Linked DNA regions of Cricetulus griseus. The protein of the gene in region 2 interacts with the protein of the main gene of each other region in a pairwise test. Links are inferred from orthologs where the notes say so. Each region holds a gene or a part of one and is shown on either strand. Other genes may lie near its edges.

Evidence for each region. The genes of interacting proteins can lie anywhere in the genome.
Region 1: the proteins of Kpna2 (region 2) and Nup50 interact in binary tests that used the Homo sapiens proteins (3 or more experiments, as listed by UniProt). The two-hybrid records come from large-scale screens. The link is inferred for Cricetulus griseus from reciprocal best matches to the Homo sapiens genes KPNA2 and NUP50.
Region 3: the proteins of Kpna2 (region 2) and Hnrnpc interact in binary tests that used the Homo sapiens proteins (3 or more experiments, as listed by UniProt). The link is inferred for Cricetulus griseus from reciprocal best matches to the Homo sapiens genes KPNA2 and HNRNPC.

Annotation. Positions count from the first base shown.
Region 1 is NC_048595.1:381,764,100-381,767,846, reverse strand, and holds the start of Nup50 (nuclear pore complex protein Nup50), read right to left. Parts: upstream 2,347-3,747; 5' UTR 2,209-2,346; intron 1-2,208. UniProt on the Homo sapiens protein: Component of the nuclear pore complex that has a direct role in nuclear protein import. Actively displaces NLSs from importin-alpha, and facilitates disassembly of the importin-alpha:beta-cargo complex and importin recycling.
Region 2 is NC_048600.1:119,948,423-119,952,169, forward strand, and holds the start of Kpna2 (importin subunit alpha-1), read right to left. Parts: upstream 2,711-3,747; 5' UTR 2,571-2,710; intron 1,093-2,570; 5' UTR 1,070-1,092; coding exon 995-1,069; intron 634-994; coding exon 496-633; intron 1-495.
Region 3 is NW_023276807.1:207,170,259-207,174,005, forward strand, and holds the start of Hnrnpc (heterogeneous nuclear ribonucleoproteins C1/C2), read right to left. Parts: upstream 2,945-3,747; 5' UTR 2,789-2,944; intron 1-2,788. UniProt on the Homo sapiens protein: Binds pre-mRNA and nucleates the assembly of 40S hnRNP particles. Interacts with poly-U tracts in the 3'-UTR or 5'-UTR of mRNA and modulates the stability and the level of translation of bound mRNA molecules. Single HNRNPC tetramers bind 230-240 nucleotides.

The DNA of each region.
Region 1 (3,747 bases), on a different chromosome or scaffold from region 2:
CCACATGAGATCTGACTGATGGCTTTGTTCTAAGCTTTGTTTGGATTCTTCAGACCCTCAGCAGCAAAACCAGCAGCAGAGCACTGTCTGAGATGACAGTATCTCTCAGGACTCTTTCCTGATACTTTCTACATTCACTTGTTCTCAGCACAGCAACCCAGCAGTGGGCATCCTACAACAGGCACTAGATACCATCTTACCCATCATCTAATGCTCTGCAGCAGATTAGCAATTACAGAGTAAGTTTCAAATCACAGAATCCCAAAGCCCTCCACAAGCTGATGTGAAGGAGGGGCTCCAGCTTTTACTATATCCCAATCTTTTACATTTCTCTTTCAGGTACTTTTCTCCTGATTACAGAATGAATGATTTTAAAACTGAAGATTCTAAAATATACAATATGAACGCTAATAACACCAGCAACGGGGAATCCTCTCTTTTAACTCCTCCCCACAAACGTTGCAAAGTTGACCTTACTAGAAATAACATTCTTTGGGGCTAGAGAGATGGCTCAGCTGTTAAGAACACTAGCTGCTCTTCCAGAGGACCTGGGTTCAATTCCCAGTACCCACATGGCAGTTTGTAACTGTCTATATCTATAGTTCCAGGGATCTGACACCATCATACCTATGCACATAAAATAAAGTTAAATAAATTATTTTTTTAAAAAAAATAGCATTCTTCATAGAACTCTTCATGGGTAAGGTCTCTGGATCTATGCGTTAATTTTTCTAATCATTACCTAACATCAACACTAGAGGGCAGAAGAGGCATGCAGTGGACCGGTTATAGTCACTTATGAGGACAAAAGGGATGGTAGGACACTCAAATAAAATACAAAGTAAAACTTTGACATCTAACTCATACTTGAAACGAAAGAGTAACTGCCATAATAAAACACATGAATGAAGCTGATGCCATTTCAATTTTATTCAGTCAGAAAAACCACAAGGGAAGAATTTTAGTTTGGTTTACTGATGACTCCAAATGTCCCAAACCTACTTGACTCATAGATAACTATTGCTGAATCAGTGATCTGAGGCATTACATATTTGAGAAAAATACTACAAGATGCTAATACTAGCATCCAGGACAAGTTGAGAGATGCCAGGCAAGTGAGTTTGGCGAATGCTTCCTCATCTGTGGGAATGGAAAGAGTGCGATAACTAAGTTTAAGATAAAAAGCATAGCTAAGAATGGTCCCTAGAACAGAGGAAATGCTCTGTAAATATTAAATAAACAAATTTGGTTCAAAATAAATACAATTTTTACTCCCAAACTCAAAAGTCGTAGTGTTGGAAAACTAACTCGAACGATAAGCTCAAACACGTTTCACCAACCGGGGTGATGACAATGGAGAGGCTGAGGCAGAATGACAAGACAGATACAGCAAAACATCACCTTTAAAAACAAAGTTACCAAATACCTACTTATTCCATATTTCCTCTTTTGGAAAGACATCTTTGTGAAGTACTTGGAACAAGGCCTGGAGCTAAAGACTTCTTTGCCAGCTATTATTAAGCTGTTATTATTAAGGCTTTTTTTTTCCTTGTGTAGTGTTGGGGATAGAACTGTATGTGTATGTGCTACGCCCAGTCCTCTACCAACGTGTTACGGGGGGGGGGGTTAGTTAATCCCCTCAACAAATGAAGTTACCCGGAAGAGTTTGCCAAATGTCTGCGTTTGCGGGTAAAATGGCACCAAGTTATGAAATGTTTTCTAAATATAAAGTGCTGTAGTGGTTAGGAGAAACGCATTATTCGTGAACGATCGCTTCCTGCAGTGAGTGTGGGCACCGGGTACAGTCCTGCTCTCTTAAGAGATGAACTTCACACGGAAAACCGCTTCGGCTAGCCTCGATAGCGAGAAGCAGATCGAGGTCACTGAAACGCCCCGGAAAGCCCAAACCACAAAACCGGCTCCAGACGAACCCGGGAGACCAACGGCCAGGGGACACGGTGAGTGCAAGCAGGGCCAGCCAGGGGGACGACGTAGGAGGCATGAAGGCCAGAGGTGGGCCAAGGGAGCCCTGCCGTCACCGCCGCCTACCTCCGCCCGGGCCGAGGCCCGAGCCCCGCCGAGCCTTCCTCCTCCGGCCAGCCGCGGTTCGCAGGGCAGGCCAGACCCGGCTTCACAAACAGCCGGCCGCGTCGCCAAAGGCCGCCGCCGCCCCGCCCTCCCGGCCCTCCCGGCTCTCCAGGCCCTCACCTCCCGGGCGGCCGCCGAAGATCGCGCTAGGTCCCGGGCGCCACTGCGAACAGGTCCGAGGCTGCGGTCGCGGCCGCTGGGAGCTTCCGGTGCGCTGAGCGCCTCCAAGGACTTCGTGATTGGCAGGCCTCGGGAGCTGTGCGTCTTTGAGTCCGACACCGAGGGGAAAACACATCCGCTCAGCCTGAAGCCGCTACTAAGCGCTGAAGAGAGCGCCCGGAGCCGCCATCTTGTAACTCGAAATACCCCCTCAGAACCAATTCAAGGAAAAAAAAAGGAGAAAAAAACGCCCGCGTCCAACTACTACGCAAGCGCGTCGGAGCCCCAGCCGCCAGCGCAGCGTCCGAAGGGCCGCCGGGTGTCACGTGGCTCACGGGCACGCCCCCTTGGAAACGGTCGCTGGGAGGAGCGTGAGTTTCGCGCATGGGCGTAGAGACCGCGGGCTGTGGAGGTTGAGCCGGCGCCACTGGCAGCGCGGGTTAAGCACGTTGGTCACGTGTCAGCCGCCGCTCGGGTTTGAGACGGTTCGCGCGCTAATTGCTGCTGAGGCGCGGGCGGGACGAATGTCTGGCCCGCGGGAGACTCTGGTGGAGGCCTCTGATGGTGTGCTGGGCGGCTGAGGAGGCAGGCAGTGGATCTGAGGGAATGTGAGGCTTGTGCCGCGTGCTTCTCTCGTGGGTGGCTCTGCGGGGGTCTCAGCCTGCGGGGCTTGAACGCTGAAAGTTGTGGCTTGGGGCTGGAGAGTCCCGAGGCACAGACTCTCAAAGGTCGCCTGTTCCCCATTGTTGTTACGTGATAGACATCCTCGATTTCCTCGTGGGGAGCTGCTGAGGTGAAGTCGACTTCCCCAAAGCTGCAGGACCAGTAGGGACCCACGGGAGATAAAGTCCCCGGAGGGATTCTTCAGCTGCAGGACGAACACCTGGATTAGGACTCCTGTTTCTGTGCTTTTAGCTGGCTACCGCACTCCCAAGCAGTGGAGTTCAGTTATACAAAGGGAGTCCGGATGGTCGAATTCTTTTACAGTTTAAATGACAGAAGACACTATGGTCATTAGACCCATCATTAACATCTAGAAACTATTTTCAGAAAAATAAGCATTTCTAGAGCAATAGTTCCTAACTAAAAAGGGTATTGCTAATGCAAATACTCCTCCAGAGATAATTTAAGTGTCTGAAACCAGCCAGGTCATGTTGACTTCCAACTAAAGTCACAGTTACTGGAAGGCTTAGGCAAGAGGAACAACCCAGGCCAGTCTGAGAAACAAAAACCCTCCCTCAGTAATACATACCAGAGCTGGACATGGTGGTACAGGTTTATAATCCTAGCACTTGAAGACTAAGAGGTAGGCAGATCTCTGCGTTCCAGGCTAGCTTGATCTACATAGTTCCAGGTCAGCCAGAGCTACACAGTAAGACCCTGTCTCAAAAACACAGCAACAAAATTAACCCAAAAGGGGTGGCGTGTAGCTCAGAAGCAAAGCACTTGCCTAGCACCTGTGAGGCCCTAGGTTCAAGCCCCAGTACTACCAAACAAAAC
Region 2 (3,747 bases):
CACCCACATTATTAGGTGGCTTATACCTGCCTGTAACTCCAGTTTAGGGGACATAACCTCTCTGGCCTCCTGCACATACTCAGACACAAACACAAATACACTTCTTAAAAAACTAAAAATCTTAAAAAAAACAAAGAATTGTCATACATTCAACAGTCAAAAGTAGATTACCAGGCATGTCCAAGAATTTTTACATTTAGCCAGCAGTGGTGGCTCATGCCTTTTATCCCAGTACTCCTAAGGCAAAAAGGCTGGTGGATCTGAGTCCAAGGCCAGCCTGGTTGACAAAGCCAAGGCCACACAAAGAAATTTTGTCTAGAAACCAATCCCCCTCAAAAAAAAAATTCTAATTTCTAAGAGACATTTATTCTTTTTTGGGGGGAGCACAAGCCTCTAATCCCAGCAATCAGGAAGCAAAGGCAGGCAGATCTCTGCAGAGTTCCAGGACAGCCACAGCAGTTATACAGGGAGGGAGAGCACTGTCTAGGTATGTACCTGATTGTTTCGGTTTTCCTGCAAAGGAGAAGTAGCATCGTCGGGAAATGAGCTGACATTTCTCCTTTTCAGCATCTGGTCATCTTTCTTCGCTTTCCTCAGTTCCACATTAACTTCTATTCGGCGGCGCCGCATTTCCTGAGGAAAAGACAACACAACACCTCATTTTATCTATAAGCTTTTCCTGACAAGTCATTTCTTTAAACCCCTCAAAGGTCAGCAAGAGATGGCTCATTGTCTAAAAGGCACCTGCCACCAAGTCTCAGGACTTCAATCCTGCAGAGTCAGGCGGAGGAGGGAACCATTGCCTGCAAGCTGTCATTCTCACCTCTGCATTTGCACCAGGTATGCACAGACACACAATAAATAAGACTAGAGATAAAACTCAGGAATAAAGAACCCATCTAACATCAGTAAGGCACTGGATTCAATCCCTAAAATGTGTTATATAAACACCCCTTCTTATTTCCATTTAAAAGTGTCGACAGAAGGTACTCACTGTACTGTCTTTCCCCTTGTTCTTGAATCTGTTAAGCCGGGCAGCTGGTGAATTAGCATTCTCGTTGGTGGACATGGTTACAGGAATCCGGGAGAAAGCTAGTAGACAAGGGAGGGTGAGAAAAAAAAGAGCACTTTTTAAATAAGAATACAGCAGAAGCCAGGCGGGGCATACTAACATTCGCCTTTAATCATAGCACCAGGGAGGCAGAGGAAGGCGGGTCTCTTGAGTTTAAGGCCAACTAGAATATAAAAATCAAAGCCGAGCGTGGGTGGCGCACGCCTTTAATCCCAGCACTCGCCTTTAATCCCAGCACTCGGCAGAGACAGGCCGATCTCTGTGAGTTCCAGGCCAGCCTGGTCTCCAGAGCAAGTGCCAAGATAGGCTGCAAAGCTACAGAGAAACCCTGTCTCGAAAAACCAAATAAATAAATAAAATAAAAATCAACTATATATTGACTCCATCTGTATGCTAGACAAGAAAAACCCACAAGCTTTCAGTTTTATGGCTACAGCATTAAGTCCAGTGGTTAAGTGCTCCTCCTGCAAAGGGATTAAACTTCTGGCAACGCAGCTGTCAATCAGAAACAGGTTTTTAATCAAACATTTAAATTTTCCACTAACCACATTTTTAAAAGGCTAAAAAGCAACAAATGAAATTAACATAGAAAAATAAACATGTTTCACCGTTTTAATACACCTTCAGAATCCTATGTGTAGTTTATGCACGCAGAGCATCTCAACTCAGATTATCGGCTTTTCACAAACTCAATGACCTAAAGCCTCTGGCCAGCGCGGTATTAAGCCGGGGCTCCACATTCTGGACACCGACTAGGGGCACCCCGCCTGGTTTTTAGTTAACAATCTACCTCCTTAAGGCAATAAAGGCACTTCTGGTCTTTTTCTGTTGATTCATGGCCCGAATGCATACACATACATCAGGCACCTTCCATCAGGTTACACAGCGACTTGGCTGGTTGCGTTACAGAGCCTTCCACAACCCTCGCTGTCAGCAGTGACATTGGCACCGCGTCTTCAGCGTCCCGCACGCCCTGGACAGGACAGGCTTTCCGGTCTGTGCATTCAATTCGAGTGACACCAGCCGTGGACACTGTCTGGGGCTCGACTTTCTATCGCAGGCGTGATCGCCACAATGTGACAATCTGCTACCGAGGCGAAAACCTCGGGAACTTCCTCCCCGAGGCTGGCGCCGGCGGCCCGGCTCAAGCGTCTCACGGGGGAGTCCTAACTGCCACCACTCCGCCTCCGCCTCCGCTCCAGCCCACAGCCCCGACCCTCCCCGGGCAGAAGCGGCGGGAAAGCGGCGGAGAGGCAGCCGGGTGCGCTCGTCTGCGGCCGGTGTCCCCGACGCCGCCCCTCGCGGGGCCTGCGCCGCCCTCCGCAGCGACCGGTGCGGCCAGGCCTGGCACCGGCACCGGCACGGCGGAACCACCCCGCCCCGCGGCCTCGTCTGGGCACGGAGGCCCAGCACACGCCCGGCGCGGCCTGCTCCCGCCTTCCCGCCCGCTCCGCGTTCCGGCCGGCCGTTACCGTCCAGGCCCGGCCGCGGCTCCCACCTGCTCAGCCGGCTCAGGCGTCCACGAAAGGCGGTGCGGGGCTCTCAGCCTGCGGGGTCGGCGGCCCTCGAAACGTCCACTGCGCCTCAGCCCTCAGACTTTGTGCCTCGTGCTGCCGGCCGGCGCGATTTAAATTTCCCGGTGACGCCGCATCCCGATTGGCTGGTTTGAGCCTAAGCTGTGCGTTCATTGGCGGATTTGAAAAACACGTTGGGGGGGGCACGGACGCCGGGCCTGGGGGAGGGAGGAGGTGGGGGTGGGGTGGAGGGGAGGGTAGCATCGCGAGATGAGGGAGCGGCCGGACAATCCCAGAGTGCCTTGCAAGAGTGGTGATCCCGGAGCTCGGCGCGCGACGCTGAAGGGTGTGTGTCGTCTCTGCCTAGGCGGGACGCTGGGCAGAGCCCTGTTTGCTCTCTCTGGGGCCTGCCCTTAAGCAAATACACGGAATTATTATTAGACGCGTTATCTTAAAAAATAAAAGTTTAGCCTGGCGTAATTGGCGTAGGCAGAGGCAGGAGGATTGCTGTGAGTTCAAGGCGAGCTTGTCTACATAGTGAGGCCAGCCAGGGTTACATGGTGAGACCCCGTCTGAAAAAGGACCCACCAAAATAATAACAAATGCTTAACATAAATACATTGATTTTCATTTTTTTTCCTCATCGAAACACCAGAGGTTTAGCAGGGGCTGGTCACTGGGAGAAAGGAGTGAAGCAGATCTGTGTGGCTCTTTTAATAATCATTGTGTGTAGTGTATTAATTATTATGTTGTTTTTTTAAGATTTATTATTATGTATACAGCTTTATGTCTGCATATGATCCTGCACACAAGAAGAGGGCACCAGATCTCATAATGGATGGTTGTGAGCCACCATATGGTTGCTGGGAATTGAACTCAGGACCTCTGGAAGAGTAGTTGGTGCTCTTAACCTCTGAGCAATCTCTCTAGCCCCCTATTATTATGTTGTTGTTTTTACTGTTTATTGATTATTTATTTATTTGTTTATTTATTTTGGTTTTTCGAGACACGGTTTCTCTGTGGCTTTGGAGTCTGTCCTGTAACTTGCTCTTGTAGACCAGGCTGGCTTTGAACTCACAGAGATCTGCCTGTAGAGCAGTCTGACCTCAAACTCACAGAGATCCACCTGTCTCTTCCTCCCGAGTGCTGGGATTAAAGGCG
Region 3 (3,747 bases), on a different chromosome or scaffold from region 2:
CACAGAAAAAGCTGATTTTGGGGGGAAGGGTTTCTGAGGCGGGCTTCTCTGTGGCTTTGGAGCCTGTCGTGGAACTAGCTCTTGTAGACCAGGCTTGTCTCAAACTCCCACTGCCTCCCAAGTTCTGGGATTAAAGGTGTGGGCCACTTCTCGCCGGCTGAGAAAAAGTTTTAAAATGTATTTTAGGCTATACTACCAAAAAAAAAAAAAAAGTTCCCACTAAGATTTAGATAAACTCCTTAAACGACACTTTAAATGATCAAGCCAACCAAGAGTTCAAAAATCACCTGGCACTTACTAAAATACAAAATCTAAGCCTGGCAGTGGTAGCACATGCCTTTTGCCTTTAATCCCAGCACTTGAAAGAGACAGGTGGATCTGAAATTGAGGCTAGCCTGGTGTACAGAGCTAGTTCCAAGACAGCCTGGGCTACACAAGGAACCCCCCCCCAAAAAAAACAAAATCTAGGTAACAATTATGACTCAATTAGAAACTGGTAGTAAAGAGCACAGCAATCTGTTCAAATTAGAATACTTTAAACAGAAAATCAGCTTTTGTCTTTTGAGAACTGTAAAGACTTAACCAGGAGCCTATACCCACTGTAGTTTTTCAAAATCTTTACTGAAACACCTGTGGTTTTACTACACCTGAACGTTGTTTTTTAATCAGCCAATTCTCCAGTAAATCTAGTTTCAAAACCATAAATCTTCCGATGAGTTGAGTGTATGAAGCTTTAGCAAATAATGAGACGAACAAACACTTAGGTTTCTCTATGTAGCTTTGTACACCAGAGATCCACCTGCCTCTGCCTCCCATTCAGAAATCCACATTTCTAACACTTTTGAAGGACTAAAAATAGAGGAAACAAGGTCTCACCAGGCCTGAGAATTCTTTGTAGACCAGACTGGCCTCAAAATCATAAGCTATCAGCGAGTTCCGCTGGACTGAAGTTGTGCCCCACCATACCTGGCCTGTATGTCTAACATTTAATGGCAGGTGTTTTTAACCAATCTCAACTACTGCCAGTAGTCTTCTTGCATACTAATTTCCGACACTTATTTACAACACTATTTTTGATGGATGCCTTCCTAGCTATTTCTCTTACCCATTTCTCACTTCACCAGAGCAAAATCTTACTCTTAAATTCTACTTCTAAGGCACACCTTAAAATGATGAGGCTTGGCAGGCAGTGATGGTCACATTTAATCCTAGCACTTGAAGAGGCAGAGGCAGGCAGATTTGGTCTACAAAGCAAGTTCCAGGACAGCCAGAAGTCATACAAAGAAACCCTACCTTGAAAAAACAAACAAATGGCTCGGAGGCGGGGCAGGCCTTTGATCCCAGGATCAGGAGGATACAGAGGCAGGCGGCTCTACCAGACCAGCCTGGTCTAAAGAGGGAATTCCAGGACAGGCTCAAAAGCTAAAGGGAGAAAATAGGTCCCCAAAAAATAAAAATTAAAACAAAAAATTAACTCCCAGATAAACTGACACCCTACACTATTAGTGCTGGGGATTAAATTAAGGGCACCTTGCATCCTAAGCACTACCACTGGGCTACATTAGCAACAGCTGTAACAAATGGCTGGGAGTTAATAGTTTGGGGGGGGGGTTCGAGACAGGGTTTCTCTGTGTAGCTTTGGAGCCTATCCTAGAACTCAGAGATCCGCCTGCCTCTGCCTCCCGAGTGCTGGGATTGAAGGCGTGCGCCACCAACGCCCGGCCCAGAGGGTTGCTTTTTTAAAAACTGCTTTGGAGCTCTCCTCTGTTTTAAAAACAAACAGCCAAAAACAAACAAACAAAAAAAAAAACCAAGATTTTACTGTGTAGTTCTGGGCTGGCTTGCAATGGATACTGATCCTCCTCCTGTCTCATGGCCTCTGGAATGCAAGAATTACAGGCATGCAATACCACACCTGGCTGGAAACTCCTTATTACCAAGTTTAGAACTGATAGGATATTGGAATATCCGGAAAAGACTATTTTGGTTTTGCTCCGGTTACCTTTAATTTCGCTATCAGCTTCCCCTAAAAACTCGATTGTCTTTTTCGTACACAGTATTCCAGTATTCTTTACCTACCTAAAAATATCTTAGTCGCTCTAATTTAGTAAATACTGTCAACCAATTTACCTATCGTTTCTCTCTCAAGACAGCAGTACCTACCTCAAGCAAAGTCCCACTAACATATATTTCAAGTAATTCGTAATCTGCAGATTAAAAGGTAAGTTGCAATTTTATTGCAATTTTAATTAACCCGTGACACTTCCCTTTTACAGAAAACACTCCGCCTTCTACCATTTATTCCTACGGGAGAAAAAGTAATGAATACTCGATCTATTGTTAACACGCCGCTCGGATGCCATGTGGCCCGCCCGGAATTTGGAAGCTTCCAGTACATCATCAGCGTAACGCTCCGCCACCCCCGCCCGACGTTGAACTTAGAAGACTTAATAACGGAATCGTTAAGACATTAAACCTCAATTAGGGTAACAAGCTTGCATTTCTTCCTTTTCACGCTCCCCTCTCCGAGTCCTGGCGGTCGAAGGCAGGCAAAGTGGCCGTTAGACACGAGCGCGCCGGCAGGGTATCCTCCGCGCCGCCCGCGGCCTGGAGGTCACCAGGCTGAACCTGCGCCAGAGCCGAGGCCTGGCGCCGCCCGACTTAGACCCGGTCCCCGGGCCACGGGAACCAACGCGGGCGCCGTTCCTGCCGCCAGGCCGTTCGCTCCCACACCCGCTCGCAGCGCCCACGAACCCGCGCCTCCCCTGCACTCGGCCCCTCCGCTTACCAAGAGTTCGGAGAGAGAGAGAGAAGACACTGCCTCTCCTACTGCGGCTCCGTGCGGAGACTCCGAAGCGACTGCAGGCAGGCAGCACACGACCGTTCGCTCTCCGGCGCTCCACAAAATGGCCCCCGAGCTCCTCTGCCGCCGAGGCGAAGGTCCAGCCCCGCCCCGCTCCTGGGGGCGTTCCTATTGGCTGAGCCTTTTCTCGCTCCCGCTCCTCATTAGATGGCGCTACCGCTCCTCACAGTGCTAGCCAATCGCGATCGGGAGTAGGTTGGTCTAGTTGCGAGAATTTCCACCTGCGTCACCGAAGCTCGTTAGTAATTGGTGGAGCTTCCTGTCACTTAGGGTATGAAGGATGGTCATTGGCCACTGTACCAGACGGAAAACTGGGTGGAATGTTCGCCTTTGTATCGCGCACAGCTTCTCATCCGGGTACCGGCGGGCCTGACTGACGCCGCGTCGGCCTATCGGCGCTTAGTGGACTGCCTAGATCCGCCCTGATCACTGCATTTCCGCGGCGCGGGGGTGGTAAAGTCTGGGTGGAGTCTGGTAGCGGGTGCAAAGGGCCTGCCCTCGCCCCGGGCCTAGGAAAAGGAAAACCAAAGTAAGCCTGAGCGTGGGGAAGAGAGTAATCCCTAGACCGCCTGGAGTGTAGATAAGACAGACCTGCAGTTTTTTTCAATTTCAGATCCTTCTCATTTCCACATTGTGTGAGCTGCCGGGAGGAGGTGGCCTCTCAGCCCACGAGGCTAGACAGCTCCTTCCAAACCTAGTCCTCTCCTGTTACCTGGACCCCTCCAAGTCGGTTGCAAAATCTGCAAACCGAATGGCCGGCCACCTCAATTTCCGATTTCCTGCAATAGTCTGACGGCCACTCAATCCCCTCAGGCCTGGCCTGCCAGTGAATTTCTGGTTATTCTGGAGGAACCTTGAGCACACCAAAATGTATACAGCCCCCT